4 linked regions of the Drosophila melanogaster genome follow. The gene in region 3 interacts genetically with the main gene of each other region. Each region holds a gene or a part of one and is shown on either strand. Other genes may lie near its edges.

Region 1 (7,032 bases), on a different chromosome or scaffold from region 3:
AAGAAGGCAAGAAATGCAGACACACAGCTCCATCATCATCATCTTCCCATCTTAACAGAAATTGTCTACATTTTTCTCCGCTTCGCTCCCCAACTTTTCGATATAATTATCCACATTGTTTTGCTTTCCTTCTGCGGGTCGCCAGCTTTTAAAGCTGAAATAACAACAGCAAACAGTGACAAACACAGTTGACTGCACTTCAAGGCATTGTTTGAGTAGGGAGATCTTTATCTTTTACATATGATGTGGATTTAAATATTTTTCAAAGAGTTCAGAAAGCTTTGAAAAATGCTGGATGCTTTTCTGTTCGGTTTAAACATTTTAACTTTACTTAATATCCATAAATCTATCTCAAAACTGAAATATATTTAATACTAAAGACTAACCGCAAAGATGCTGATTGTTTTTTTTTTTTACTAAATTAAGTTTTTTTTATATGCTTCCAAGCAAAACCTTTAAAGGGTGTAAAAGCTTCGACATGCTGACAACTCTTTTTCTCTCTTTTCTTCCAAGATTTATGTTGTGTTGCAGCAGTTTGTTGTTGCACGATGCGGCCGTGCTGCTTCTGCAACTGTACATTTGTTATTGCTTGTCGCTGTGCATGCCGCTGTCTCTGTCTATCTCTTTAGCTGGGTTTCATTGCCTGGTTTATTGTTGTTCTTGCTGTTTTATTGATGAGCTGCAGTTGTTTAGCCAGCAGCAACATCTCTCTTTTTTTTAATCTTGCTTATGTGTCTCTGTTTTGAAGCTTGGCACGTACGCCTCTTTTATTTATTTATGTGTGAGGGTTTTCAGGCTGGCTATCTCCCCTTCATTTTCCCGTCTCACTCTGTTGCATCTTCACGTCAATTGGCTTTGGGGCAGAAACAGAGTAGAATTTATTTTTCAGTTTTTAGGGAGCCATAAATTTTGAGCATTCGCTCTTGGACAAATTTGTTTTTCGTCTTAGCCAGAGTTGCCAGACTCGCAGAGGAGCTCCACTGCAGCCACATTAATCAAAATTATTCAGCTTAATCCTAACCATTTTCAAATCAATTAATCACAAGTGATGTGACGTCAGTGGGAATTTTGATAAGCACACGCTTGAGTAAACAATTTTCAGTTCCCAAATCAAAAGTCATTAGGACTGGTTGGCCCCATCAAATGCATTTGCATTGACGGACACGCCTCAATAAAGGTTAGAAAGTTAGTCTTTTCGTATACTTGAAGTGCATTTCTTATCGTTTTTCTTATTTGTTTTATTTGTTATGGTTTCGGGGGCTCACAATTTCGAATTTCCGTCTCATTTCCATTCCAAAACATTTTTTGTTGTTTAGTTTCCTCAACAATTGTTTACAGTTTTAACTATGCACTTCCTCCCGTGAGAATGAAACGCACACAAAGAAAAAAAGAGGCAGTCAATTTTATTTTGGTTGACCCGTTGACTACGAAAACATTCAGAATTTTCCAATCCGTAAAGATTTCGTACTTTACTTTATGTTGTTTAGGTTATATCATATTTCGTTTTTTTTTCTGTGTAGATACTTTTATGTGTCACTTTTTTTTAGCGGAAGCAATCGTTTTTGTATTATTTTTGTTGTCTTTTTACACTGAGTCTGCTTCACCTTTTCAGTATTCGTAGTGCAAATGGAATTCAATACAAATAATGCCTCAACGATTTTCGAAAATTCTCTAAATGCAACTTGCGGTGTGCAAAAAACCTCAATTGAAACCCTCAACCAACGAGTCACGTCTAATTTGCGAATTGAAAACGGACAACAGAGCAAGAGGAACAAGTGAAAAGCTTGATAAGGGGTGATAAAGGGGGAGGCAGCATAAGCAATGAATAAATAAAGCCCACTGCCCATGTATTTCTATGAGTAAATTCGAATTAGCAACAAAAGCCAGCAAACAAAAAGAGCAAATTTTTATTTTATTTTTTTACCTTTTTTATAAGCAATGTGTGCGAAATGACGTCATGTATCGCAAAATATGTAGCTAAGGCAAATGGAATGCTCGAATTTGATATGATGAGTATATAGAACAGGAAGTAAGGTAATAGAAATCGAAGAATGTTGTAAATAGGTAGGTAGTTAGTTGGTGGCAAAGGAGAAATTCCTTATAACTTAAATTGGGAATGTTGTTGGCTTGTTGTAATGTGGATATGTAGGTACTTGTATAGAAACAGCAATCTAACAAGAAAACGTAACCAGCGCGAAGGTTCTGATAAGATTGCGGGAGAGCACACACACAATCGAACTCCTATGACTTGCATAAGAACATCTATAGAAGGCTATATATAAAACAAAGTTTTATAGGAAACATTGCTAATTTAAATTATATTAAATTCTATAAGCGTAATGTTTCATTTAAGCATAGCGCATTGAATTGGGTTAAAGAATAATTAAAGTAAAAGGTTATCAATTCCTATTCGTTCAAGATTACAATAAATTACAGAAATATCAAGATGGGCTCTGAATGACAACAAAAAATTTAAAAATCGAACTGACTGAGTATCAAGAACTACCTCCGATACCTATAAAGTCTATTTTGTAGGCATTGGGTTGCACTGACAAATGGCATAAACAAGTTTTCAATATTTACAAATCTGTTTATCACTTGTTGCTGCTTTTCACTATTTACTTTGCTGAAAGGCGAGAGACCAAGGAGGAAAAGTGGGTCATGAAACTTGCCCACAGATGCGCGCCAGCAGGCGGATTTATTGCCCAAGTGCATTAGGCACACGGCTAGAGATTTGCAAGTGGCATTCGCAACAAATTGCCAAATAAAAGATGAATAAAATCAGCGACGAGAATTGGAAAATGGGTTTTTTTTTTAATCTGACAAGCGCATAGAAAGCCGGAGGTAGAAAGAAGCATGAATCATATGGAAAGGAAAAGCACACGCACACACAATCACACCCACCCGAAAAAAGAGAAAGAGAGAAGAAAAGTGGCTAGAACTAGAAGCTCAAACAGTGGCGTCTGAATGGGGGTCAATGTGGTGCTACACCTTAAACATTTGCTCATATTTCCGGATAAATTTAAATATAATATGTTCTTGATCTTAAATGACATTTATGACCCCTGAATAATAATCTGTAGTTTCGCCACTGTCTATGAAGCATAACAACAAAATAGACACACTACTCACTCACACACGCCGTGTTGCGTGAGCTTGACCAAACCCAAAAAACAAAAACAACACTTATTAGAGAAGCACAAAAGATGGCGTCACCGGCCGAATTGCCGCTCATCGTCATAACGGTTAAAACGAATGCAGGGCACGAGGGGACATTCACTATTTAACGGGATTATAACACATCATCCGGTAGATGCAAGAATACTCACCGGTACTTTTAGTATTCTTTTAAATTCGTTGATCCTCCAGTGGCCGCTAACACAGGCACAGGTCACAAATACAACGGTCACACTCACTGTATGTGTTAGAGGAGAAACGCACGCGTTTTTTATAAATGTATTCTCGCTCTCGCACCTCGGTTTTTGGTTTTCAGCCGCTAATTCGTACAAACACACATACGCCACAGAGGGAGACTATCAATAAAAGGGGAGGGAGAGGGTAGAAAATTTTAATAGATTTAACTTTTTATTGCCTTGAATGCAATATGTTTAAAATAAATAATTTTGTTCTCTTTTGGGCTTCTTGCACTACACCAAATAACTGTTAATATTTTTTTTTTTGCAAAATTGCCGCTCCTAACAGCACTTAGCACTTTTAATTCTTTGAATTAAATTTTAGTTGCACCGCAGCGAATAAATATTTCAAGTTGAATTGCCTACGAGAACTTAATCCAAAATCGTACGGACACGTCCGACGGGCAGAGCACGAATGAAGCGCAAAAGAGAACTGCGCACGGACAGTGGCAAAGAAGCCGAGAGAGAGAGGGCGGGCAGTGTTAGGCAACGTCAAGTGGAGATGTTGAAAACAACTAAACTGAAGTAACTTCCAGACAAACTGGCTTCCAAACGGGGTTAACTAAATTCGGTAAACAATCGAAAAGCATTAGTTTGCCTTGCAAATCACTCAAATTGCGCAAAAGTGTTCAAGAGAATACGAGAAGAGAGCGAAGGAAAGTGGGAGAGAGAAAGAGAGTTCTTCATCCTGCAACGCCCAAATATACACGCTTGTGTGTGTGCGAGAGAGTGTATGGGGAGGAACGAATATTTGGAGCAAAGCGCAGGGGAAAATAGCGGTGCAAGTCCTTTTTGCCACCTTGACCACAAACAAAAAACGCCTTTTTTGGCGCTCTCTTCGCACTTTTAGGTATTCTTCGCACAAAAACTATGTCAATTAAGCCGCACACGTCGATTATGTCATATTATTTATACGAATACACTTTCACACACAAGCGCCGCGCCATATACACACATTCGTGTCCGTGCGTGTGTGTGTATGAACGGCGTCGCATTCTCGTCACCGGCAATGCCGTGAAAAAATCGATGGTCAATTTGCTGTACGGGTGTATTCGCCTCTATTTTCTCGTTTCATTTAATAAAGTCTATCACTAATTTTAGAAGCCCACTAATTGGTCAATGGGTTCGATAAAACCACTGCTTACAATTTGTAAATGCTGAACTTCACGAAATTTCGCCCGCGTGATGTGTTTCGTTTTCGATATTTCGTACTACGATTTTGTTAGGGATGGACAAACCTGACGCATGTCAATGGGTCGATATTTGTTTGAAATATCGATGCTCTTATCGAAATATTTTTCAGTAAAATCGGGCGATTATCGATATATTTACATTGAAATAGGGCTGGCAAATCACAAATTTCGGCAAAATACTTCGATAAAAATAAATACCAAAACATTCGATAGCAGTCAGGTGTTGAGCTACAGATATAAATATTTGTAGTGAGTAAATATCTCCGTGCGGTGAAGGTGCGTGGTTCCGTTACTTTATTGTTGTGCTGTGATTTTGGGGAGTGAAAGTGCGTGATTCGATTCGGAAATCGTTCTCTCGACCAATCAAGGTCCGTTGGAAAATGGGCAAATATATATAGTATTAGAAATATCAAGTGCCTATGACGAATATACTATTCTTTACGAAAATATGGTGGTCACGGGAATGAGCCAGGCCAGAAGAATGCATTAATTACCAAACCTGTTTGGGTTTCGCCGTAGAATTACCAATGTTCGCAAATACAATAACAGATGGGTCAGCCAATCTAGCATATTTCGCCCCAATTAAAGGCCAATTTACTATTGTCACAGAAATATATACCCTATATGTGTCGTACATATGTAGTAGTTCCATGGGTCAATGTCAATATCCCGGCTTAATATGGATAAAAAACGAAGCTTAATCTCCCGAATGGCGCACACCCTTTGAGTCACTAGAGAATCTCATGCTTCCGAATGATGTCACACAATATAGCATATATATATAGCGGCTACATATGTATAAATACAGCATTGTATATGTAGAAACATTTGAATTATATTTGGGTGCGAACCGAGACATTCTTGTCTCCAAAGTATAATTTCAGTTTGCGTGAATTAAAGTAATTTCATTTAGCCCGACTTCCAGTCACACTGGGAATACTAACGATTCTGTAATGCTCGTTAAACCATATTTATGTCTCTGGGTGTGCTTTTAATTCCACCGCGAGGCTTATAAGTAAATATGGGCGATATAAAAAATATTGGATGTTGCTAACTAGTCATCAAATGTTTGAACAATAAATATTTATTAATGGGTTTTTAATCTGAGGCGGCACCTTACACTGCTAACTGATATTAAACTATATATGTACATATATTTTCAGATATCTGCACGATGGACGACTTGAGGGGATTCTTGAGGCAAGCGGGACAGGAGTTCCTCAATGCAGCTGGTGAGGCTGCAATGGGAGCGGCCAAGGATGTGGTCGGATCGGTGATCAACGAGATCTTCATCAAGAAGGAGGCCGACACCAAGAGGGTTCTGCCCAGCATCAAGAATATGAGAGTTGTAAGTTGACCCACACGGTTATCAACAGTTATTTATAGGGCGCTATACTATACTAAACAAACATAGAAAACAATCCATTGAAATCTACATATGCATGTTAACAAATACATATACATTCCACTCATTAGCAACCATTGCAATCTCAAAGTAATAGTACGTTGTACTATGGGAACGTAAGTACCTACTCCCGTCATCGTAATGGCATTGACATAATTCCATTCCAAGGATAATGCGCTGCCAAAGTGTCGTACTGTGTTGTCCTTGTGTTCTTTTTCTTTCGCATGTAAAGTGTAAAACGCATCATCGTTTATACAACTCCATTACACAACTTTATCGTGTACATACATAATACTCTTAATCAAGTTCATCAATTTTGTTAGATTCATATCACTAATAGCATGTATTTTTTAGCTGGGAGAGAAGAGCTCGAGCCTGGGACCCTATTCCGAGGTGCAGGACTATGAGACAATATTGAACAGCTGCCTGGCCAGTGGTTCCCTTTTCGAAGATCCACTTTTTCCGGCTTCGAACGAGTCTCTTCAGTTTTCCCGGCGTCCAGATCGTCACATCGAATGGCTGAGACCTCATGTAAGTTTTAGATACTACCATATTACCCGTAACTAAAGGTATAAATGCTTTAATTATAAAGGAAATTGCCGAGAATCCCCAGTTTTTTGTGGAGGGTTATTCGCGTTTTGATGTTCAGCAAGGCGAGCTTGGTGACTGGTAAGAACAAAATCTCTATTTCCGCAGCCAGAATAATTAATAGTTTTAAATAAATGCTTACATTTACAGTTGGCTCTTGGCTGCCACAGCCAATTTAACTCAGGAATCCAACCTTTTCTTTCGGGTAATTCCAGCGGAACAGAGTTTCGAGGAGAACTATGCTGGTATCTTCCATTTCCGCTTTTGGCAGTATGGTAAATTATTTATTAAAAAAATTATTCATGCGCTTCTTACAATTTTAGTTTAAAATTTTAAGGTAAATGGGTTGATGTAATCATTGATGACCGTTTGCCCACTTATAATGGAGAGCTGATGTACATGCACTCCACGGAGAAGAACGAGTTCTGGAGCG
Region 2 (5,829 bases), on a different chromosome or scaffold from region 3:
ATTGTTGCGACCGCCGCCGATCGGGCCAAAGTTGCCAACACCACTCGAGGATACGAAGTTTCCGCCGTTATTGAAACCTCCTCCACCATTGCCGCCAAAATTGGAGCCGCCATTGTTGCCGAAATTATTAACGCCACCTGGAGAATTGAAGTTGTTGCCACTGTTGAAACCACCGCCGCCGTTGTTGTTGCCGCCGAAGTTTCCGCCTCCATTATTGCCGAAGTTTCCAAAGTTTCCGCTGTTACCACTGTCGTTTCCAAAGTTGCCGGAATTTCCACCGTTGTTGCCGCCACCAAAGTTGCCGAAATTGCTGGGTCCAGAGTTATTTCCAAAATTTCCATTATTTCCACCTTGGTTGTTTCCAAAGTTGCCCGAGTTCATCAGGCTTGGCAGATTGTTGAAGCCCAGCATGTTGTTGGCACCAACGCCAAAGTTGCCATTGTTGCCCCAATCTTTGTTTAACATCGGAATGGCAATCAGTGAAGTTTTATAAAATTTAACAATTAGATCTGAACATACCATTGCGCCCTCCGCCGAAATCATTGCCACCACGGTTGGCACCACGATCACGTATGTCATAAGGGCCAGGGCGTCCTCCGACACCGCCACCGGCGCCTGTGGCCCTCTTCATTTCAGCAATCGAGCTGCGGAATATCTCAATATACCTATGTGAATAAAAGTGGAAAATATATGTATTTTAAAAGTGGTACTTGAAATTGCTAGGGTCGGTGGCTTTTTTCCATGATCAACTATTAAATATCACGTAAAAAAATGAAATCAAAATAAATTCATTGAAATGATCAAATAAAATAAATAAAAATGCTGTTCACAGTTTAATTAATTTGTTAGATAAAGCACATGATCGCGCTTAAACATATATATGTATTTAGAGAGCCCCACCAGACCCGTAGCTATGGGAAAATTTTTTGCTAAATGATTTCTCAGTTACTGAAATAGAAATTATTTGTGATAAAAGTTATTAAATATTTTGTGAATAATTGTATAGTCCTTGTGTGTTTCAACAAGTTCGCAATCGATTACCACTTAATGTTTTAATTTCGCTGTTTTTGTTGTAGAAGATATGATGAATTAGAAACCCACCTGTGCCCAATTTTTTCCCGATTTCGGCCCAAGGCTTGCTCAGTGTCGTCCTGGCTTTCGAACTGAACAAAAGCTTCCCCAGTTGCACGACCCCTTCTGTCCATAACAAAAAGTATGCCCTCCCGATCCGTTTTGATATCCAACCCTGCCCATGACGATAACCAACAAAGATTTATACAAATATATAGATTTCATATATATATATACATTATGCAAGGTTAAGCTTAGATAGAAAAACAGAAATACAGAGGTTGATAAATGTTATTGTTTAGTTCCAACACCGCAGAACTTTTGCAGGTTCTCACGGTATTAGCAACGTTTGCATAAATAAACAGTGCCTTTTAGTCAAACTATGATCACCAGGCAAGATGCGACTGTTGCAATCGAGTTTCCCGGACCACAATGTATTACAAAACTCAGATCCTGTAACTCGTAGACATGTGTAGCTCAGTTGAAGGTTGTGAGTAATGATCGACCATATAACCAAGTAAACTGGGTTATGTGACCAACGAAGGAATGATTTATCGGACAAGCGGACGTGACCGCGTCAACTCTCAGCCGTTGACTTTGGAAGGAGCCGCGTGAACCGCCGAACCCATTACACAAATGCAAGGGCCTGCATTTCTTTGCCCGACAATATGTATGTACGTTGAAACGCATGTGTAATTGATATATGAAAGGTGTAGATGAAAGGGGACCGTAGGCCATATCTCAACGATGTGAACAAATAATACATGCGGTCAACCACTGTCTTTTTTCCTGGTACCTGGTACATATTAGTATGGAAAGAGGATTTGGGTCAGGAAACTTACCAGAGAAGAACTCCTCGATTTGCTGCTCAGTGACGGCATATGGCAGACCACGAAGCTTCACAACGAAGGCCGTGCCGTGTCCGCTGATCTTCCGCATGGCTTCCTTGGCCTCCTTGGGCGTGGCGGTAAAAACTAAAGAAATAAAAACCAATTACATCAGTTAAAACGGAAAAAAAACAAACAAGTTTTCTGCACCATTTTGTGTTTGTTATTAAGATAAGAATTAACATGAATACAGATTATAAATGGTGGTGTGAAATTTACTTTACTAAATTTTAGTTTACCTCGATAGAAGCAAGGATAAGAGTAACAATACAGTGACATATTTGTAAAACCTCCTTAATATTAGGTAAAATTCCACAATGAATGAAAAGAAAATAAGCGCTACCAGTATAAGTAGCAAAACAATGAAGAAATAAATCATCTTCGATTCCATGTATGGAATCAGAACAAGTTCAAGCTTGTTAAAAGGATAAACATATAAACAAAGTGAGAAGAAACTAACTATAACTGCCAAGATAGTCATCAGGTACAGTCATCCCCCACTCAAGTGGCAAATAAACAAACCTTCAATGTAGCGGTGACCCATGCTGGCCTTGTTCAGCTTGCGAGCCTCTTCGACGTCCTCCTGGCTGGCCACCTCCACGTACGCCTCGCCGGTGTTCTTGCCGTCGACCCGACTGGTGACCAGGTGAATGCCCGCCGAGCCATTAGTCACATTCACGTTTTCCAGAAAGTCGAGTATCTCCTTGTGCGTTGCGGACCAGGGCAGGCCGCGCAACCGAACGAATTTGGGGCTCTCGCCGACGTTTTCGATCTTGCCGCCGCCATCTTCGTTGTACTGGTCATCCTCATCCTGCTGCTGGTTGCTGTCGTCGTTGAAGTTGTCGCCATTTCCCTGCTGGCCGTAGTTAAATTGCACGTCTGCGTTGGACATTTTTCACCAGATCTCTACCTGCAAATGGTGTTACAACGATTAGTCACTGGTTAACTAGTTTTAATTGTTTTTTACTGGCTGAAAATGCGATTTTTTGAGCTAGTGATTCTCCACTCAGCAGCGACGCTTGTTTGGTGCGATTCTTTTTTGCACCGCGTACGCCATTTTGATTTCTTGTCACCCCTAATTGCTTATGACATTTTGCAAGTCTCGTACACAATATAAACGCTTCTAAATGTCACACCTGGTGGCGGAACAGAGAACTAACCGTATTCTGCTCTGTTTCAACTTCCAATATCGCCTTTTTTTAAACTTTATCGGTTAATTTGACTTATTTTTCAGAGAGATTAATCAAATAGCACGCGTCAAGTTGAAGATGCAGTGTGACCGCAATTAAATCATCAAAAAATACCGCCTGGCAGTAGCCAGCATCAATGTGGACCGTTGAAAAAGAAACAAGGTTTGATTTTGATTTTTTTTTTGCTTTTTTTGGGCAAGATAGAAGAAATTAAATATAAGGAAAATGATAAACTAACTGTGATCTTACCCGAATTTGAAATATACTGAAGCAGAAACATTTTAAATATCTCACTGTTCCGTGACAGCGACAGTTATAAACGTGTCCATCCCTGGAAAAGCCAGTGTTGCCAACCATCACTCAGATCTGTCATACCCGTGTGAAAAGTAGCAAGAACAAGAAAAGTGAGTCGAGCTGTTACTTAACCAAATTTTTGCAATTAACAAGCATTTTACTGTTTTTAACGGCAGCATGTTGAGCATCACGGCCCGTAACCTGGCAAGCGCCCTCCGCAGCAGCCTCGTCGGCACATCGTCGCGCGTGGCCGCCGTGCGCTGTCTGCACGGAACCGAGGAATCGGCGGAGGAGTTCGACAAGCGCTACGAGAAGTACTTCAGCCGTGAGGGCATCGATGGCTGGGAGATCCGCAAGGGCATGAACGATCTGCTGGGCATGGATCTGGTGCCCAGCCCCAAGATCATCGAGGCCGGTCTGCGTGCCAGCCGTCGCGTCAACGACATTGCACTGGCCATCAGGTGGCTGGAGGGATGCAAGGACAAGTGCGGCGACCAAAAGGCCACCCTCTATCCCTACTTGCTGGAGAAGATCACCCCCACACTGCAGGAGCTGGGCATCCCAACCATCGAGGAACTGGGCTACGACAAGCCCGAATTGGCCCTGAAGTCCGTGTACGATGCCTAAGCGGAGAACACTAGTTTAAAAACACAGAACACAATATACACGTTACAGCGACACTAGCTACCTACTATCCAATGTATGGTGCGGATGAACATGTTGTTGGATTGCTAATAAATGGAGATTGCAGTAAGGCTACCACACCAGCACAAGGTTGTTTTCCCTGTTGGTTACGTAACACCCAGGTTAGGGAACTGCATTCGGGCAGAGATAAACAAAGCGGCTGATAGCAATTCGTTTATTGTCCGGCGACTATTTCCATTTGGACAGCAGTTCGGCCGCCTTATCCAGGTTCTCTTGCTTCTTGATGAAGCAGTAGCGCACAAAGTCCTCCCCCAGATGTTTGTTGGGTTCGCTGTAGAAGGCACTTGGCGGTATGCCCTGCAAGCCCATGTTCTTGGTCATCCACTTGGTAAACTTGTAATCCCGATGCTTGTCTGGCTCAGAGCTTAGATCAATCTTGCCCGCCAGTGGTGACCAGTCTGCCAGCATAAAGTAGCCACCCTCAGGAATGGTGGGACGCATACCGGATTCGGACAGGAACTTGGCCATGAAGTCACGCTTCTGCTTCAGCTCGCGCGGCAGGCTAAGGAAGTAGCTCTCCGGCTGACCCAAACGGGCCAGTTCTACCTCGAAACTGCGTGCGACGCCCTCCTGGAGCGGCGTTGGACAGGTGTACACAGAGTTCTGATGCACCATCTGCAGGTTTCGAATCAGTTCAGCGGGTCCGTAGGCCCAGCCTATTTTCCAACCAGTTACTGAGAAGGTCTTGCCCGCTGATCCCAGAGTAATGGTGCGATCCCACATGCCCGGCAGCGTGCAGATACGGATGTGCTCGGCTCCGTCGAACACCAACCACTCATACACCTCGTCCGAGACGCACAGCACATTCCACTTGCGGCAGAGCTCGGCTATCCTCTCTAGCTCTTTCCGGTTGAAGACCTTTCCAATAGGGTTGTGGGGCGTGTTTAGGATAATCATCTTTGTTTTAGAGTTGAACAGACTCTCGAACTCAGCGTCATCTAGCACCCAATCGGCAGAGCTTATTGGTCCCTCTGTCTTGCGCTAGAAGTTAGACATGTTAAAAAGAGGGATATATTTTTTTTTTCTATTGTGGTTCTTACCAATTTTAGGGGAACAAAGCGGGGCACTCCACCGGCCATCTTGACCATAGGCTCGTAGCAATCAAAGAATGGTTCAATAATGATCACCTCGTCGCCCACGTCCACATGGCCCATGATGGTGGAGTAGAGAGCCTCATAGGCGCCTGAGGTAATCAGTATGTCGCTGAGGGGATTTAGCTCCTTGCCGACGAGACCGCTATAGAGCTTGGATAGCGCATTGACCAGGCGAACGTGACCGTAACCGCGAGTGTACTGATGCAGAAGAGGATTCTGCTCCTTGGCAATGTCGGCCAACGAGTGGGTCACGTACTCGGGAGCGGCATCATCGGGAAATCCCTGTCCCAAGTTCAGGGGCTTATATTGCATGGCCAGGGCAATGTACTCGTTCCAGACGCTGGGCGTGCTACCCTGCAATCGCTTGGGCAGATCGAATTTCTCCATTTTAATGGCAGTCTGCTGGTGACGAAGGGCTTGCAACTGGAACTGCTCGCGAAGGCTCCTCTTAGCGGCGGAGAGGGTTAACTGACAGCTGCGTAGCATCTGTAAAAAGGTGACTTTAGTGAATGATCGCTCCCTTTCGCCTTATCACCGCGTGTCTGGATTGTTTATTGCGCGATAAGCACGCACTTTGCCTGTCGTCTC
Region 3 (9,018 bases):
TGTGGCACATTTTTGCCATTTTGCTTATCAACCAAGGGAGTACTAAAGGCAGTGGGCATCGATGGGCAATTAAGAAAGCCACATGCGGTAGCCATCGCTGGATATCCGTTTACATCTGTTTTTCGCCTGTTGCAAGTTGTCATAATTAAATTATTAACCGAATGCCGAGACCTTGTCGCAGGGTAATTAGTTCTTCAGCAAAGCTTTCACTCTCGCAGTCAGAGCGGGAATTTCCCAGATACGATGTAAGGTAGATATTAAACGGCTTATTTTATAAAACTCCTAAACTTTTTAACATGCGTTTATCGATAAAATTGTGCGTTCATATTCCAAGAATTATTCTGAAATCTCAAAAAGCACTACTATTTCAAAATCATTTGTGTTTTTGTCACCTACATAGTTATAGTTAACTATTTTTATCTGTATTACAAACTTTTGAAATGGACTAACTGAAATTTGAAGTCCAGTGCGTACTTAAAAATATAGCATACTTTTAGGGCTTTCGTTTTGAAATACTACCATTCACAGAGAGCAACACGAATTTTGCAACACTGTTAGCTAGACATGGGAAAAAAATGTTATATAAATTATGATAAAATATTATATACATAAGACAATTTAAATATATATTTGGAAATGTTATGTACTTTAAAAATTCAAAATTTATGAACATAAAATCTTTACCAAATAAAAATTAATTTATATAAATAAAGAAATCAATAATTAGTGACAATAATTCTTCTGGTTCTGCTTGTGATGCAAGCGTACTAAGAAGTCAGTTACTTTCCTTTTAATTTTTATATTTAATATTTATATTCCTTTAACAAATAAAATAAAAAGTAACTACATATTTTCTTAAGTTGCGTGCGATGCAAAGTCAGTTCCTTTCCTGTTAACTTTACTGGTTTTATTTATCATAAAGTTGAGAGCAACTGGTTTTGACACTATCGATGGAAAAGTACTATCGATAGCTATCACCATTCGCCTCGAAAAACAACAACAATGCTACTTTTGTCGCCCATCGCTATTAAAACCTACAATCAATATGAAATGCAAGTAAACGTTGAAAACAGCAACAAATCAAGCTAAATAATAGTAGTGACTTTACTAATGCATTCGCACCGGTAAAATACATTTTGAAATAGTAAAAATTGTGCGAAAGCGACGTGGAAAGCCGTTTCAAAAGGCCAGGTACAAAAACATACGCACACAAGCGTAGACCGTGAGACGGGCAGGCACCCACACGCACACACATATGTAACCCGTCTTTTCCATGACAAAGTGAAATAGAAGAATCGTTAAGAAAATAAAGAAAGCAACAAAGTGAAAATAGAAGCATTGGCTCGATAACGTCTAGCAATTGAATGCACTTCCCTGGGACGTATATTTATCGATCATCGGTTGGAAGTGCGTGCGAAAACAACGGTTCTTGTATTAATTGCACGTATATGTACATAACAATTATATTGTCGCCGTGTGAGTTTTTTTCACCGTTTCTTTTACGCGGAGAGATCGGATGGGCCAGCGAATCAATGTACATGCACATATATCCGATATCTGCGATATAGGCGGCGACAAAGGAAGTGACGACGCAGTACGGCGGATTGGTATCCCGGGACATATCCGCAATTGCAAACTATTCGCGAATAAAACCAGCCGCTTCCCCAAATAGACATACACACACGGGCATATATATACATATGTACGTACACACGTCTGCTTGTGTACATCGCGCTTGACACCCTAACATTTGCGTGGAATGTTTGCACAAATATACGAAACCAGAATGCTCATCTCGGCACCACCCTACGCGGATTGTAGCGTAAACATGCTGGGAGATCTGTGATAGAACTAATCCATTCACCTCTCCTTATCTTTCAGGATAAACCAAGGATAACCCAGGTTAACTGTGTTCTTGTTGTGTTAACCATTGATTGCCGCCGAGGAAAGCAGGTTCCGTCATCGGAAAAGTCGGAGAAGCACCTGCTCTTCTTGCAGCTCCCTGCTCCGGAGTCCGAACCGCCAATAAAGTGGAGGAGCAGTGCCGACGCTTGCAAAGCATGAATCTGCGGGGAAATCCTCCCAAGAAGGAGGGCAAAATGCGCATTCGGGCCTTTCCGGTAAGAACCCACATTGGAGCATCGTTAAAACCACGATACACACTCTTAATCGTGTAATATTGCTAAGAGCGAACTAATATGAGATTATCTATTATCTGACAACCCGGAACTAATACAAGTTTAAACCACAAACTGTAAAAACATTTTCATTTTAAGCTCAAATCCAAGAAATCACTATGAAGAAAGAGCTTGCTGTCCACAGCAAGTTGTATAATCCCAGATTATGCCATTTCTTTGGTTCAAAAAACAATGATCTTCAAATTTTTAAGATTAAGCGTTTGAAAAGGTTGAGTGCAATTTGCAAACGAATTTAAAAAACGAGATATACTCATTTGAAAAGCCCCTTACTCGCTTTGCAGTTGAGATGAGAGTTGCAGCGAAAAATCTGTCGATCGCATCATGAACTTGCAAAATGTTTCGATAAGATAATGCCATTTGCGGGTATTAAGAGTTAGATAATTTTTATAAAACAATTAGCAAATTCACCGGTTAGGCGACACCAAACATTTCTCCCCACAAAATGTCAGGCGACATGAAAAGCAAACACCAAAAATCAAAAACAAATAAAAACATCAAAACACCAACCGGGGCCAGGGGAATTTTCAACACACATTTTAGTTTTTAAGTTACAACGAATTCAATCGTAGTTTTCGAGAAATTATTGTTGACCAACAACACACACAAAAAGACTGTGAACACCTGTATGTGGAGAGCAGGGTGAAGGGCGAGACCCGAATCGCGAGTAGAACTCTGGCCGGAGTACGGAGCACAGAGGAGGAGGAGGAGCAGCGGACCAGGTGTAGCAGAACCGCGCGGCGGATGTGACATTGAAGCTATCATCATTAAGTCGTTAAACCAAAGTCGGTCTCGCCAGGCACCGGCTTCAGCAGCGGGCTATTATCCAGCCCCTCGCTCTCTGGCACTCAGCGAGGAAGAGAGGAGCCACTACCGGGACAGGACGTGTGAGCTGGACCAGCGTAGCAATCTCATGCAAGGCCGCGATCCCCGCCAACAGCAGCCGGAGCCACTGAACAACCTCAACGCCAACGGCCGCTACCACAATCGCATGGTGGCCGGCTCCAACAACTTCAATGGCGCAACTGTCGGTAATGTGGACTCTGCCGTGCCTTGCCGGATTGCAAGGCAAAACGTTCTTGGACAGCAGGCGCGAAGCATGAACATCAATGTGCCCAACGCCTCCTCAATGCAGCAACACCAGCAGTCCCAAAATCGATTGTCCGCTCAGGGATTAGCTTCTGCCTCGCGGCGGAGTTATCACCTTGCCGCCAGCGGTGGCAGAGTTCGGGCTGATAACAGAATTAATACTAACCACCCGCTCACGCCGACGCCACTTTCCATGCCAGTTCCAGCTCCTGCTGCTCCAGCTGTCGTTAAAACTGAAACTAGTGCAACCACCTCTGGGCCATCAACCTCAGCTTCAGCGAGCGCAGAAAGTACAGAAAAACGCTTTAAGGAAATAGCACGGAAGTACCCACTCTGGCTACCGGAGTACAAGCGAAGGGCATTCAATGTTAGCCTACCATCTGATAAAAACCAAACAGGGATTTCAACTTTTAGTTAACTTACTAACAAGCGAAAGTCTTAATATCCCTCTTACACTCTTATGCATTTATAAGTTTTAATCCCTGAGAAATAAGTTCTTGACTATCCAAATTAATAATCTTATATTTCTCTTCCAGGCCTCCATGGACGAGAAGTACGTGGAGACCATTTGGGCCAGCTTAAAGAATGCTATCCAGGAGATACAGAAAAAGAACAACTCCGGACTATCGTTTGAACAACTCTACCGGAATGCGTACAACATGGTGCTGCATAAGCACGGCAATAGACTGTATTACGGTCTGAGGGAGGTCGTCTCAGAACACCTGGAGCACAAGGTGCGGGCGGATGTGCTGGAGGCTCTGCACAGCAATTTCCTACCCAAGTTAAACCAGGCCTGGACAGACCACCAGACATCTATGGTGATGATCCGCGACATACTCATGTACATGGATAGAGTTTATGTGCAGCAGCGCGAGGTAGACAATGTGTACAATTTGGGATTAATTTTGTTCAGGGATCAGGTAGGAATATCTTTATTGCATTTATTCCGTTGGAAATATATTTATCGCTTTTTCCATTACCAGGTGGTTCGCTATTCTGAGATTCAAAAGGCCCTGCGAGAGAAGTTGCTGGGCATGGTGATGGAGGAACGTCATGGCGAAGCCATTAACCATCTGGCTATCAAGAATGCTTGCAGTATGCTGATCACCCTGGGGATTAACTCGCGCACTGTCTACGAAGAGGACTTTGAAAAGCCCTTCCTTGCGCAATCGGCGGCGTTTTACAAATTCGAGTCGCAGAACTTTCTTGCCGAGAACAACGCTGGCGTTTACATCAAGAAAGTGGAAGCGCGCATCACGGAGGAATCTTCCCGGGCAGCGCTGTATCTCGATAAGGATACGGAGCCCCGCATTGTGCGCGTGGTCGAAGAAGAGCTGATCAAAAAGCACATGCGACCCATTGTTGAAATGGAGAACTCGGGCGTGGTGTACATGATCAAGAACTCAAAGACCGAGGATCTGGCCTGCACATATAAGCTTTTCTCGCGCCTGAAGGAGGAGGGTCTCAAGGTGATAGCGGACACAATGTCGGCATATCTGCGAGAGCAAGGACGCATGCTGGTTAAGGAAGAAGAAAACGGCAACACGAATCCCATAACATTCGTGCAGAACTTGCTGGATCTCAAGGACCGCTTCGACCAGTTTCTGGTGCACTCGTTCGCCAACGATCGCATATTCAAAAACGTCATCTCATCCGATTTTGAACATTTCTTGAACCTAAATAACAAATCCCCGGAGTATCTATCGCTATTCATCGATGACAAACTGAAAAAGGGTGGCAAGGGAGTGAGTTGAATTTACAATATGCTTTCTGAAATGTATTAATAATGTGTATTACTTTTCCACAGATGAGCGAACAGGAAATTGAGTCCATCTTGGATAAGACAATGGTTCTCTTCCGTTTCCTATTGGAGAAAGATGTCTTTGAGCGCTATTACAAGACGCATTTAGCCAAGAGATTGCTGCTGAACAAATCAGTCTCTGATGATTTCGAGAAGAATATGATATCAAAACTAAAGGTAGGTCAAGTTACTTGGTATCTTAGCATAATTATTTATCGCTTTAATCTCTATTATTGCAGACTGAATGCGGCTGTCAATTCACCTCGAAGCTAGAGGGCATGTTTAAAGATATGTCAGTCTCCAATACGATCATGGATGAGTTTAAGAACTTTGTAAATAATAACAATTTATCCCTTGGCGGTGTGGAGCTAACGGTACGCATACTAACCACTGGTTTTTGGCCCACACAGGTAAGCTTAAATTGTTCCATAATTATGTGAATAGGTTAACTTATCTTCAATTTCCGTAACAGACAGCAACTCCGAACTGCAATATACCCGCCGCTCCGCGTGAAGCCTTTGACATTTTCAAGAACTTCTATCTAAATAAGCACTCAGGACGTCAATTGACGTTACAGCCACAAATGGGTTAGCTACTTAAATGATCTTCTTTTTTAAGCAACTACTGTATTTATGCCTTCCCCTTCGAATAGGAACCGCCTATATCAACGCTGTGTTTTATGGCCGCAAGGCAGTTGAAAGTGAAAAGGATAAAGATGCACCCAGCTCCAGTTCAAGCGGCTGTGGGGTGCCCACCACCACACGCAAGCACATATTGCAAGTGTCCACGTACCAGGTAAGCTAAAATATCTTTTAGTTCGTACACCTCCGAATTTTATTTAGCAGAAGCAGCTTTATTTCATTGATCTGAAAAAAATATTTAACTAAACATTTAACATGTATTTCATAATCCAAAATTAGATGTGTGTGCTACTGCTGTTTAATAACCGCGACGTGCTCACCTACGATGACATACACCAGGAGACCGATATACCGGAACGGGAGCTCGTCCGAGCACTACAATCGTTGTCCATGGGCAAACCCGCTCAGCGTTTGTTAGTACGCAATTCTAAAACGAAAACTAAGGACATTGAGCCCACGGATGAGTTTTACGTAAACGACGCCTTCAACTCCAAGTTCCACAGGTTAGATATTACTTTCAGTGCGAAAGAACGGCGCCTGGTAATAATATCGAAACTATTTTAGGGTGAAGATACAAACGGTAGCCGCCAAGGGAGAATCAGAGCCAGAGCGTAAGGAAACGCGCGGAAAGGTCGACGAGGATCGTAAGCACGAGATCGAAGCGGCTATTGTGCGCATAATGAAGGCCCGCAAGCGTCTGGCTGTAAGTATTATACGTTTGCTATCTGGTTGGATTGTGATTTAACCATGATTCCTGTTTTTATTTTCTTAGCACAACTTGCTAGTATCAGATGTGACGTCGCAGCTAAAGTCGCGTTTCTTGCCCTCGCCCGTGTTTATCAAAAAGCGCATTGAGGGCCTAATCGAGCGCGAGTATCTGCAACGATCGCCGGAAGATCGCAAAGTGTACAACTACTTGGCCTAAGCGGCCCACAAAAAGTAGCAGGAGCGTCTTAAGCAGGATCCGGAACACACTCATCTTCAAATCGCCAGGGCTTGCACACTAACTGAAAAACACAATCTGCAGCTCGGACGGAATGGCCTGAGCATACGAGCGGCATTGATATGGCGGATACTGACCACGATTATAGATGACCGCCAGCCAATAACCCGAATACATAAATATATCAATTAGTGCGCCCCGAATCGTAAAATTTCGTTTCGCAACCCATTTTGTAAGCCTGACATTCAAAATTCAACAGTTAAAAATGCTATTGGATAAGGCACCACCATAATTATTATCCCTCTAATATATTTCTTGATATTCTCTAATTACTGTTTATGGTCATTTCTTTGCGCATAACAAGTGTATAGCAGTAAGCCCAAACAACCACATACACACCTGCTCCACCACCACCCCATTCAGAGCCACAACCACACACACCACATCCACCCACAAGAATCGTACGCAAAGCAAGATAAGAGAAATAATGCATAATGCAGCCCCTAATTGTAAGCAGCTGAGTAAAAAGGTAAAGAAGCAACAACAGAAATATAAGCAAGAAAATATTAATAACTATAAATATAGCTAAAGTAATAAATTTATAAATGAATTATGAATTTTAGAGAGCGTTTGATGTACATTTATACGTCGTCTGTTTCAATCCAAATAAAAACATTCATCCCACGTTTTGAGATGCGTGTGAACAGAACGTAAGGATTGCAATGACTATTCATATTCCTCTATCTTCATTTTTTGTGTACGCCCAAAGCAACGTGAAGTGATTATGATAATCTGTACGAAAAAGTTGTTTTATCTATTAGTTGATATGTGGGAATCGATTCCAGGCATATGTAGGCAACACTTCTGTAATGGATTTGAGTTAAGTAGGACACACATAGAATTGATTTTGAAAAACAATTTAACGCCGAACCGAAAGCACGAAAACGGAAGCAAGCAAACGCGATCTAAACACTGTAAATAAATTTTGTTCTTACATAAAAGAGAAATCGATATAAATAAAACGTATAATGAGCGTTAACACAGTTGTTGTCTATCTTTTAAAAGGATTTTAAAATATTTTCAATGAAATGCTTTTATTCGCCTGTACAATAAAACGAACTTGGTAACAATTTAAATCTGCAAAAAATCTACTGTTTTCAATTGGTGCCCAACATATTGTGCTAATCGTGTAAAATTTGGGATGGGCAATAAGACTTAAGGATTGGCATAATCATTCTCTGAATCATTCGAAATTTTTTAGTTCTTAATCTTTAAAATTCATGGTTTTTGCAGCTTTTTTCCAGCTATTGTGTAACCGCGTTGAACGACCATATCGGAGTTATCAATGCGACCAAACAAACTTATCCATGGGCAAATATACACCGGATGAGTTAACAATTATACGAAATTGGCAGAACCCCGAAACCGCAACTTGGGCAAACAGCGATGACTTTCGCATATTGTGTAAGATACATACATACATATGTATATCGTGAGCCCGGCCAGAAATTCAGAATGCTAAGTTCTTGGGTAAACACACGCAGCGATCCAATTCGATTCCCCGACGCACTGATAAGCGCTGAGAGTCCGTCGAGTTTTTCAACTCTCTAGAGAGCCGCTCTTGGCCGGTGGTGGTGGGGAGCGAGTGTGTGGAGCGGAGCGCTCAGTTCGGTTTCGTTGGCGATCGCGAACGGAGCGCAGACGAAACGCGCGGTATTTGGATCGTGGCAAGAAATAAAAACAACAACATGCTGAAACCGTATACTTAATACGCGTGTGTGTAGCTCAAAAACAAGAAAAATATAAATAAACAAAACTACATTGCTACGTCAGAAGACTGCAAACAAAAGATATGAACGCAGCGCGCTGAGCTGCTCTTGACGTCGCCGCCAAGGTTCGAATCAGATATATTTTCTCTATTTTTTATTTTTTTTTCCGCCCATTTTTGTGTTGTTTTTAATAAGCTTACAACTTTACAAGTGTTTTTTGTTGTGATTTTTGTACTTTCGTGAGTGATTTGTGATTTGCGATTTGCGTGCAGTTGAAGGCGAGGAGAACTGCATTCGATCTTTCCGATCAGCAGTGCCTTGAGATTGCCGCTTTCGAAGTGAACGTTTCGATGTAGAAACCTTAAAGTCATACTCATGTCTAATTACACAAGCTATTCCCTGGCCGACTAAATCAGCTCTTAGTAAGAAGAACGTGGTAATTACATTTTGAATTGATATCATGGCCAGTCGCCAAGCCGGTTTCGTCCTAGACGCCAAGTCCATGGGTCTGAATCCGTCGAGACCTGCATCATCGCCACCGCCACCACCATCATCTGCCAGTCAAATGTGTCGGCAAGTG
Region 4 (9,535 bases), on a different chromosome or scaffold from region 3:
TTTTTGTTGTTAATTGCAAACAATTCAATTGTTAAACGACCCCGAATATGTACTTTGATTTAATTGTTAGACAAATACATATATGTATACATATATATTTTAGACTCGTGTATTCAGATGATTTCAAATTTCTCCCAAAATGGGACGTGCTGTAAAAAATAATAGAGTAAGGTCGGCCCATTGCAACAGTGCCGCCAAGGCGACGTCAATCAGTGGACATTCGATGCTAAAGCAAAACAACGATTGCAATGGACGCAACCCGTTCTTTCAGTTTCTGGCCTACTTTCGAAAATGTTCCAACAACTGCCTTGGCCACTTGCCGTCGGATCGGGTAACTCTAATTGCCGGCAAGGTGTGGAATTACATGAGTCTGTCGGAGAAAGAACCCTTTATCGCTGCTGCGCGAAGATTTAACTACACGTATCGATCGCGGAGCAGAAAAGTCAACTGGGTCCTGGCGCAACTGCGAAAATCCGCTGCTGGGGAAGAATGCCGACCACAGGCACAGTGGATGTTGATGAACTTTTTAAAGTCTTGGCAGGAATCTGTGGTGAGGAACCTTCTCGACCTGGATCACAATCAAAACTAAATCAGAGCAGATTTTTATTAAGTGTAATCTTTAATAAATGATCACTCAAGGTAATAGTTACTGTGCGTACATTTAGCGAGTAAAAATGTGTTAGGGACAGTAATTACATGCGTTGAACTTGCAGGATTCGAAGACGCTTAAACCATAATTTCTTTGCCGCGTTTTTTCTTGTTACTTAAACATAACAATTAATCTTTAAATTCCAAATTTACAAACTATTTGCAACGCCTACATATTGTGCGAGGGCACTAGAGTGTGCGTCTACTCCATTTAAGTAGATGACGTAAAGCGTCATTACATGATACTAGTGATGTAAACGATATACAAAAATATAGATCTGCGCATTCCAAAACGATTGCGGATATGCTTATACTCGATGTACAAACGTCTAGATGGAGTGATCAGCCGTAGCTAATCGCGATGGCGATAAACGAATTTACAAAACAACTACAACGAGCCCGAACTGCTGCGGGTAAATGAACAAAAAAATGGTGGTAGTGGTGGTACTGGTATTGGTTTGGTGGACTGCTCAGCACGTGCTCAGCACGCCAGTTGTCCGCAGATTGCGCCCGTTTCGCTAGCCGACCAAGCGATTCTGGGCCGTGGGGCTGGCGAGGATGGCGTCGAAGGCTCAGAGTCACCAATGAAAACGGCCGAATCATCAGCACTGGACGGGGACAGCGGTCTGTCGCTGTTTGCTCCGATTTCCGAAATGGGTATGGAGAGAGAGGTTGTCGCCTCCTCGCTGAGCGGAACAATTTCCTTGAAACTCTGATTCGGTGGCATTACCACCAGCATGTTTATTGAAATGAGAAGTGGATGCACCAACTTTGGGTCTAACACCATGAGTGGCACCTCCTCGTTCTTTTCGAGGCTAAGAGAACAGATCTCGGACGTTTGGGTGAAGACTGCCTGGCGCTGGGCGTTTATCGAGGTCACCGTGGTGCGGACCATGAACTTGCGTTTCGTCTGCAGGCTAAGCACTCGCTCGTGCTCGTGCCGGTGGTGCCGACGAATGTTCAGTCTACGCGAGTCCATGATCAGGATGAGATCCATGCCAAAGTTGAAGCCCGTCCAGCGCCACTTCTGGTAGCCAGGCTCAAGCAACATACGTCCGCATCGCATGCAGTTCTCAAAGAACTGCTCATCGTCCAGCTGCTGAGGACTACTGTGAATGCAGAATAAAAGGATTTTAGTTTTTAATGATATAATTCCAGGAGAGGCTTCAGAAGACTTACCAATCCTCCTGCCCATGATCGATACGTAGTAATGCATCCCAGTGGTTGTGAATGTGCCGATACAGCCACTCCTTGGGTATAATATTGTCATTGTATATGATTTTTAGATCCATGTAGTGGTTGGTCAGGTACTGGGTTCGTAGCTTCTGAAAGACCTTCACATAAGGCTGCCCCTCGGGCGTGGCCAAGAACGAGCGTTCCTCCGAGCGGCTGGTAAAGTATGTCCACTGGACGACATCACCACTAGGCGCATGCGTTTCCACGCCGGCATTAACCAAAAGCTCCTGCGTCTTTAGCGCCTCCGCCCGCTGGACCGGGTCCTCTGGATCGTAGTCGGGATGCAGTCGTAGGAACATCCATGTGCGCAGTAGAGTGTACAGCGAGAACTCCGTCTGCATCACATACAAATCGGGACTGGCGGTCAGGGCACTCATCAGCTCAATGGAGATGTGCCTAAGCAGGTTCGGTTGCTTACTATAAATGCTTAGCAGATTGATCTGGAACCACTGAAAGGTGGACTTCTTGACTCCGACCACACCGTACTGGCAGGCGGCCTCGTAATACTGGATAGCTGTCTCCGGACTAATGTTATCCACCATCACCTCGGCACACTTGTCGATGATTCCGTCTAAGTGGAACAACGTGGCTGTGGCCAATACCGAGATAACATCTGCTGACTCGATTTCGATCTCATCGGAATACATGGAACCAAAGACAGCATCCAGGCTAGCAACGGTGATCCGGTCGTCCAGGATTGTGATCTGAATGAAATTCTGCTGGGCTTCCCGCCACGTCCCATTGAACATAGTATAGAAGTATGGACTCTGGCTCAGGTACACCTTATGCAGGTGCCAGACCTTATCCAGAGCCATGACAGCCACATCCGAGTTCTTTTCCTCCTTGAAGAGCGCCTTGTATATGTACTGGGTGGTAGTAAGAAGTTTTTTTCTGCGGAAATTAAGCAGGTAAATTAAATTACCTTAAATTAATTAAGGTAACCACTTACTTTTTGGGCTGAGTGGTGTCTAACTGGGCCGGATCATCCTTCCCCAAAGATGAATCAGTGCTGCGCTTCCGCTTCCGTCGATTGCTGAACACCTCAGCGACGTTCATATGCATGGATCCCACTATTTGACCCATGGCTGAGCGCAGGAATTCTTACTCTGAAACAGCATATATACAATTTTTTTTTTAGATTTCCCTACATGAATAGAGTTTACAATAAAAATGCGGTCTGTTATCGATCTGACAGATTGCGTGTTGATGGTGCCCTCAATGGAACCAGTTGACCCAGTTTCATTCCGCCAAACTGTAACGCCAGCCGCTGTTAAGGCGGGGAAACCTTTCCCGGGTGGGCGAACATTAGTGTGGGCGACTTTACAGGCCCTAAAACCAAGTGGAAAGCGCATCCATTCATAAACAATGGTGATGTCATAAGATATCTGAGCAGCGATGCTCGGAAAACTTAAAGTCATTTGTAGATTGCAAGTAACTGAACTGATATCTAGCTTAGTCTTTTTGATTAGGTACGCAATAAGCCCAAGACTAATTATTAGATTTTACAAGTCATGTATCTTAGTATTTTAGTTTTTAAAGGTGTGTATAAAGGCAACATTTATTTTATTAAGGTCGACAAAATGCAATTCAATTTGTAGAGTCTATTAAGATTGTGTGCATGGAATACATAATGTAGTAAGAAACAGAGAAGCATCCGTTCAAAGCGATTTTAACGACCTGAACCGCACTGTAGCGCAAACATATTTGGGTAATTTTAAAGGGGCGGGACTCTATAATTAGAATGAGATCAAACGAGCTCGATTCCATGCGCGTATATGTTGTGTTTATGCTTTGCCGCCAAATGCTGGAACTGGACGAGCTGATGTAACCATGTCAAGGCCGCGTTGGAAGCTACTGCTACTACACGTATATATGTGTATTTGCTGCCCATAAACAATCAAACGGACGCTTTCGTCACCTCATTGGATCTCATTGATATGGGCGACCGGACAGTCTCGGACTATGGATATCTATTCGGACGCAGACTAAGCATAAAATAATGATGATGATGATTTTGCCGTGGTGGAGAAAGGTTTGTTTTGGTGTGGCGCAGTTCCGAAAACAAGAGTAGTGTTCCAAACCGGTTCCCAAAGCGTGTATTTCTTATAAGACCAAAACAAGACGATTGCAGCGCTTTAAATTACGTCACCACTTGAAGCCAGAGAGCAGAGAGAATTGAAGATTGAGAGGGAAACAAACAAAAGGGGGATGACCAAGACCACCAAACAAAGCCGGACCTCCAAGTATAACCCGAGTTTCCAAAAGTCGTAGTTTAGAAATTAAAGGAAGGTTTAGGGTAAACATACATGTTATTATAGTCAACTATTTTTAATTTTTTTGAAACATTTGCAGTGCCTGAAGCTTTTGTTTCGATGGTGGTAAGATAAAGTGCATTTCCAAACGATTTTAAAACATGTTTAAAATAAACTTAATAACAAGTTTTCACGCTTGACAGATTTTATCTACTGCACCTTGGGGGATAAGGTTTGCTTTCGAAATGTATCATCCGGAAGTTTAAGTTTATAAAAACGTAAGCATATGATCTTCTCTTTGAAGACCCACTCCAAACATTTTTAAAGGAGGATTGTTCCACTTTTGAGATAAACTAAACACATGTAAGATACTCTTTTTTTTACACATGTAAGTTAGGGAAATGACAAAAAAAATTAATGTAGCCCAAGGAGTTAACGGCTAAATAACGTGGGTGATCGTCGGAAGAAGCCAACAAGCATGGGCGGAGACTCGAACTCGAACTCGCGCACTGATTTCGTAGGGAATTCCAGTTGCCTTAGACGACTGAGCCACCGCGGCTGGAAAATTTGGGACGTCCGAAATCGGAGAAAGGTGTTTGAAGCAGGTTAATATATGTGGTTAACCTACAGATAAGGCTACAAGCAGCACTCTTTTATTTATGGATGCAAAATCAGCTGATTGACAGCTTAAAACGCTTATTTACGATGGCCTGTTGTTTGGCCCTGATAACACGCGATTAGCGATATGGAAAACGGACCACCAGACCATCAACTTTTTCTCACTTTATATCCCCATGTTCCTGGCTGCGAAGTGCAGTTAATCCGCAGCTATAAATAGCAAACAAAAGTGAATTCGGTGGGTGACGTAGTTGGGAATAACAGAGAAGGGGTGGGATGGATACGTACTAAAGAGATAGAGAGAGAGCGACAGAGAGCGCGCTAACGAACGACGCAAAACTGAAGGAAACAAGGTACACAAAGGGGAACTGATAAACGAAACTTACTGTAAAACTGCAGTTACAGTGCCGTACTTTTATATAACAGCAATTGCACCCCACGTTCACTGGCTTCGTTTCAATAAATAAAATAAACACGGGCTAAAATTCTACGCGAGTCTGATTAGGCATGCGGTTTAAGCCATTTCAATTCCGTTCGCTGTCAATTTTATCTCTGTTTTGCTGCAGTTGGCTCTCCAAATCTTTTAGTTATGGTCACCCTACGATAGCAAAGCATGTATTTTGATTGCATCGCTGCTATCGATGTTTGCGGATTGGCGCTTTAGCGTTCGCACCGGTCACACTTACCGTACTTTTTAAAATTAATATTTACTTTACGATGCGGAAGCACAAACCTATCTTGAGTTGCTCCTTTCGAAGTAAATTTTAAAAATAATATTAACTTCAATAATAGTAATAAAAACATATCAATTTACATTTGGGGACACAAAATACATAAACTATGAATATTTAGAAATAAATGAGCTTACATCTCTTCGTTTTGTTGTTTATTTATATGACATCTAATTCAAAAATTATTGTATAATATCATGATATTTGCGAATAATGACTCGTATAAACGTTACCGTTCTGCAAAACGCATAATGTCAGTGTGACCGTGTTGCGCGGCATTTTACCACTTTCAGAGATTAGTGCTCACGGGTTTTCGTGCTGCGCAGCAGTTAAATAAAATTGAATACATCAAGAGCTGCAGATATAAATCGGAGTTGAAAACCAGTGCAAGTTGCATTGGCCCACAAATCAAAGGTACGCCTTATAAAGGAGAGTGAATCAATTGCCGAATTAGTAGTGCAAAAGGTCAAAGCATCAGTCGTGAAAAAGTGGCACACATAAATACAAATGCATACATACATACTCGTAGATGCAACACACACCTACACCTAAACACACATACACACACAAACACACATCCGTGGGAGGAATAAAACACCCACAATTGCTGATTATTTTCTGCACTCGTTATCGTTATCGCTTTCGTTTTCGCATTCATTTTCCACAGCCGCAGTTTCGTGGGGCGTGCAATGTTTAGGATCCACCTCAAGATGGGTCCCCAACGCAACCAGCTCCACAGCAACAACAACAATGGTGCCGCCGGAAGTAGCAGCAGCACCGGAAACCGTCACCTGAAGGAGTTCACCTGCTGCTTCGGCCTGCATGTCCACACGGCCACTTTGATGATCGGATTGTGGCACCTGGTAAGTGCATCAAGGGGGGTATCCTTTAATCCATACATGCGTGTGTGTATATCGAGATACACCCACGCATGCAGTCCTGCGGCATTTGCGAAAAACCTTTGACCCTGCTCAGTGTCACGCAAGGGAAAAATCAATCAGCCAATGACTGCAAAACTTTGCGAAGACGAAGACGAGCCAACTCTGCACTTTCCCCGCCTGTGACGTCAATTGGTGGCTGATTGGCCGCTGCTGCGTCATCTGATCAAATTTAACTACAGTATAATTCGCTTAGCTGCCTCGAGTACTTTGCACAATGCCTCGATGCAGGTAACTTAAAAATGCAGCTAACTTAATTTTTTTTTTTCTATTTTCTATTTTCTATTCACACAAAAAAATGGAAAAATAATGCAGATATCTTGCCGATGCAGCTAACTATCGATGCAGCTAAGCGAATTATACTGTACTATCATCGGGGCTTTTTGGCACAACAACTTATTTCTGCCATCGGTTCCACTGCGGAAGTTTCCACATCCCATGTCCATTGTCCGAAACTAACCTTTCACAAGATCTGACTTCGCATTAGCAATCGCTACACTTGGAGAAATGTAAAGCATTGTCGAATTTTCAAAAGTTTCATAAGAAATTAGTTTTATTGGCTAAAAAAAGGGATATAAATGTGCAAAGTGCAGTATTTTCAGTCTTGTTATCAATGTTTTTGGAAACCCAGAAACCTTTGATGTCTCTTCTGAAAATGAAAGAGAATGCTCTGCCCTTAAGAGAGCGCGAATCTGCGGCCAATAAAAGATTTGAGTCGTTGAGCAAAAACCCTTGCTTAATAGTATTTGTCTCACTACGCTATTCGTGTATATTTTACACTGTTCCGCTACTTTCTTTATGCTTTGATCAGGTCACGTTTTCCAGTAGAAAACTCCGTCACATGGGTTGATTATGGTGTGGACAGCAGTGGAGTTATCTTTTCTAATCTGTCCAATCTCAAGGGTTTCTTTGTTTACATTTTGTAGATATGTATGGCGTTAGAGGCTTTAAAAACAAAGCAATTCCGCAAATCGAAGGTTGCTTGTTGTTTGGTTGACTCATCCCCAGAGTGACAATTGTTGATATACTGCGGCGCACTGCAGATTAAATTTCATGATGAATTTCTGATGAATAATTTAACTAAAGATGGCAAGTTGCCGCATCTCGGGTCGTTGCAAGGCCTTCAACCTGAGATACTTAGATACTGAATCGGATATCCAACGGCAGCCATCTGAGCAAACAGCAACCAGAAACATGAGCGTTCAAGTTATTTTTAATAACTACACGTACTCGACAAGTGATGCGAAAATATTTACTCTTGTGGTGGCTTACTCTTGCTTTTCGGTAAGAAAGATATATTCTTCTGGAACAACATTCTGAAGCGTGCTGTCATAAATCTGAGAATTGTTAATTCAGCTGTCATCTATCAGCACACAGGCTGCAAATCAAATCAGGCGAAGCTTTCTTATCTTCTTTTTTGCCAGCTTATCTTCATGAGCGGACCCATGCACCTGCTAACGCACTCGAAATACTTTTAAATGTTGAGCTATCATTAAAGTCCCCCCTCGTGATCCTTGGGAATCTTTGCTTAGTTTGTGACGTTTACAACTTATTCACATTTTTATAAATATTGTTCTGCTCACACAAAAGTCTACATTCCCCACTACTTCCAATGAAATTCCATCCGGAGGAAGCTGTCCAACTGGTGAAGGCATTTGCGAGATTCGAATGCAATGCCCCACACAGACGACACATTTCCGGAAGGCAGTTCTTGTTGTCCTATTGACATTGTTTCCTCAAATAAAGTCATCCTGCGCGGCTATGCTTCTAAGGCGAATAAGGATGTCGAAGCGGTGGAGGAGCTAGAAGAGATACAGGAGATGAATGATGAGCTAAGGGATTTGTTCATCAATACAACTGCCATCAATTGCTCGTCCCTTTCTGAACTAAAAATCCAGACTGACGCTTTCAACACCCTTAAAGAGCGTACACTATTCTCATTGGGATACTCGACAGCCGGGCTTTTAAAGAAATCAAAAATCAGTAAGGTTCTAAAAGGGAAGGTCAATTTGTACCAACAGATTGTGAGCCTTGTAAAGCAACGTACAAAGACCAATTCAGAGATCACCATAGGAAAGACAAGTCATCCCGTGCACCTGATGGTCTTACAGAGCTTTTCGCGAATGTTTCGCGATATGGGCAATGACCTGAGCGTGGCCCTGCCCGAAAAGATGATTACGCCACGCTCCTTTGGCCTAATCTACGAATGGATGATCGAGGACACGCCAGTCTTGCCGCGACTCGGTCTCCTAGAGGTTTTCCACGCTGCCAAATTTATGGAGATTCCACAGTTGGTCAGGCAGTGCAAGTATTGCCTCGATCATGGATTCACTGAGGACTCCGCTGCGATGCTGTACTTTGAGGCGAAAATACTGAAACTTGAGGTTATCCATTTGCAATATCTTGAGCGCGTCTCAAAGTTTTTTCTCACGCTGGTGGCATCGAAAGAGTTTTTGAGACTGCCGCTGAAATCAATGCTATTGCTCATCCAATCGGATCTGATAGGCGTGAATACGGAGCTGGAGGTCTTCATGGCAGCCGCTCGGTGGCTAAGCCACCACTGGCCTCAAAGAGAGGAAAACGTAACGGATGTTGTATCCAGCATACGTTTTGGACTAATCCCGCCGTGGTTGCTCATCCGTTTACAGAAACCGGATGTCACATCTGTGGGGGTGGGGAGAATCGTAGCGCAGCCAATTGTGCGCCAAGCCATTCATGAAGGCATCGCGTACACGACCACGCGGATGTTTTATGGAAAAGATCGGGAGGCTTTTAAGCACTATTTGCATAAGGCTTGCGTAAAGCCACCCGTGCAACGCACTTGGATATACGACCGGAAATGTCCGTATCATCATCGAATGCAATGCAGGAACACGGTGGACTTAACCTACGACGCGTTCCTTGAATATCTTAATTACACGCAACGCCAGCACCGGGATTATTGGAAATCTCTGGAACCAGTAGATGCTAGCAATGTTTGCTTCAGTTGCCAGGCAAAGAAGTCTGATTTAACTAAGCCCAACAGTTGAGTCTCCACGTTGGTTGTAGAACTTGTAAAATATATATTTCTACTTATATATGTAAGCCTCCATGTGCAATTAAACAGTTTAAT

Evidence for each region.
Region 1: of Cul3 (region 3) and hts, changing one suppresses a phenotype caused by changing the other (phenotypic suppression), as found in Drosophila melanogaster (one study listed by BioGRID).
Region 2: of Cul3 (region 3) and COX5A, changing one suppresses a phenotype caused by changing the other (phenotypic suppression), as found in Drosophila melanogaster (one study listed by BioGRID).
Region 4: of Cul3 (region 3) and gcl, changing one suppresses a phenotype caused by changing the other (phenotypic suppression), as found in Drosophila melanogaster (one study listed by BioGRID).

Annotation. Positions count from the first base shown.
Region 1 is NT_033778.4:19,420,265-19,427,296, forward strand, and holds the start of hts (hu li tai shao), read right to left. Parts: upstream 4,640-7,032; 5' UTR 4,559-4,639; intron 3,851-4,558; exon of another isoform or gene 3,534-3,850; 5' UTR 3,330-3,533; intron 1-3,329. Other genes in the region: CalpA (Calpain-A), read left to right, coding at 5,781-5,954, 6,083-6,127, 6,366-6,542, 6,604-6,680, 6,750-6,874, 6,937-7,032. UniProt on the Drosophila melanogaster protein: Required for assembling actin at ring canals in developing egg chambers. Probably interacts with other developmental proteins involved in nurse cell/oocyte transport through the ring canals. Important for normal neuromotor function.
Region 2 is NT_033777.3:11,816,093-11,821,921, forward strand, and holds COX5A (cytochrome c oxidase subunit 5A), read left to right. Parts: upstream 1-3,266; 5' UTR 3,267-3,310; exon of another isoform or gene 3,311-3,328; intron 3,329-3,455; 5' UTR 3,456-3,552; exon of another isoform or gene 3,553-3,618; 5' UTR 3,619-3,619; coding exon 3,620-4,069; 3' UTR 4,070-4,207; downstream 4,208-5,829. Other genes in the region: glo (glorund), read right to left, coding at 1-452, 520-665, 1,102-1,246, 1,914-2,045, 2,481-2,850; Kyat (kynurenine aminotransferase), read right to left, coding at 4,316-5,128, 5,188-5,727. UniProt on the Drosophila melanogaster protein: Component of the cytochrome c oxidase, the last enzyme in the mitochondrial electron transport chain which drives oxidative phosphorylation.
Region 3 is NT_033779.5:15,264,007-15,273,024, reverse strand, and holds Cul3 (cullin 3), read left to right. Parts: upstream 1-2,700; 5' UTR 2,701-3,108; coding exon 3,109-3,651; intron 3,652-3,820; coding exon 3,821-4,204; intron 4,205-4,267; coding exon 4,268-5,029; intron 5,030-5,091; coding exon 5,092-5,262; intron 5,263-5,324; coding exon 5,325-5,495; intron 5,496-5,557; coding exon 5,558-5,672; intron 5,673-5,737; coding exon 5,738-5,880; intron 5,881-6,005; coding exon 6,006-6,229; intron 6,230-6,290; coding exon 6,291-6,429; intron 6,430-6,498; coding exon 6,499-6,651; 3' UTR 6,652-6,996; downstream 6,997-9,018. Other genes in the region: yuri gagarin, read left to right, coding at 8,899-9,018.
Region 4 is NT_033778.4:8,720,070-8,729,604, reverse strand, and holds gcl (germ cell-less), read right to left. Parts: upstream 5,348-9,535; 5' UTR 5,141-5,347; intron 4,965-5,140; exon of another isoform or gene 4,920-4,964; intron 4,701-4,919; exon of another isoform or gene 4,540-4,700; intron 2,991-4,539; 5' UTR 2,968-2,990; coding exon 2,834-2,967; intron 2,776-2,833; coding exon 1,828-2,775; intron 1,758-1,827; coding exon 1,130-1,757; 3' UTR 606-1,129; downstream 1-605. Other genes in the region: CG30356 (uncharacterized protein), read left to right, coding at 140-589; CG30357 (uncharacterized protein), read left to right, coding at 8,097-9,452; CG14767 (uncharacterized protein), read left to right, coding at 6,175-6,348. UniProt on the Drosophila melanogaster protein: Required for the specification of pole cells and germ cell formation. Mothers with reduced glc function give rise to sterile adult progeny that lack germ cells.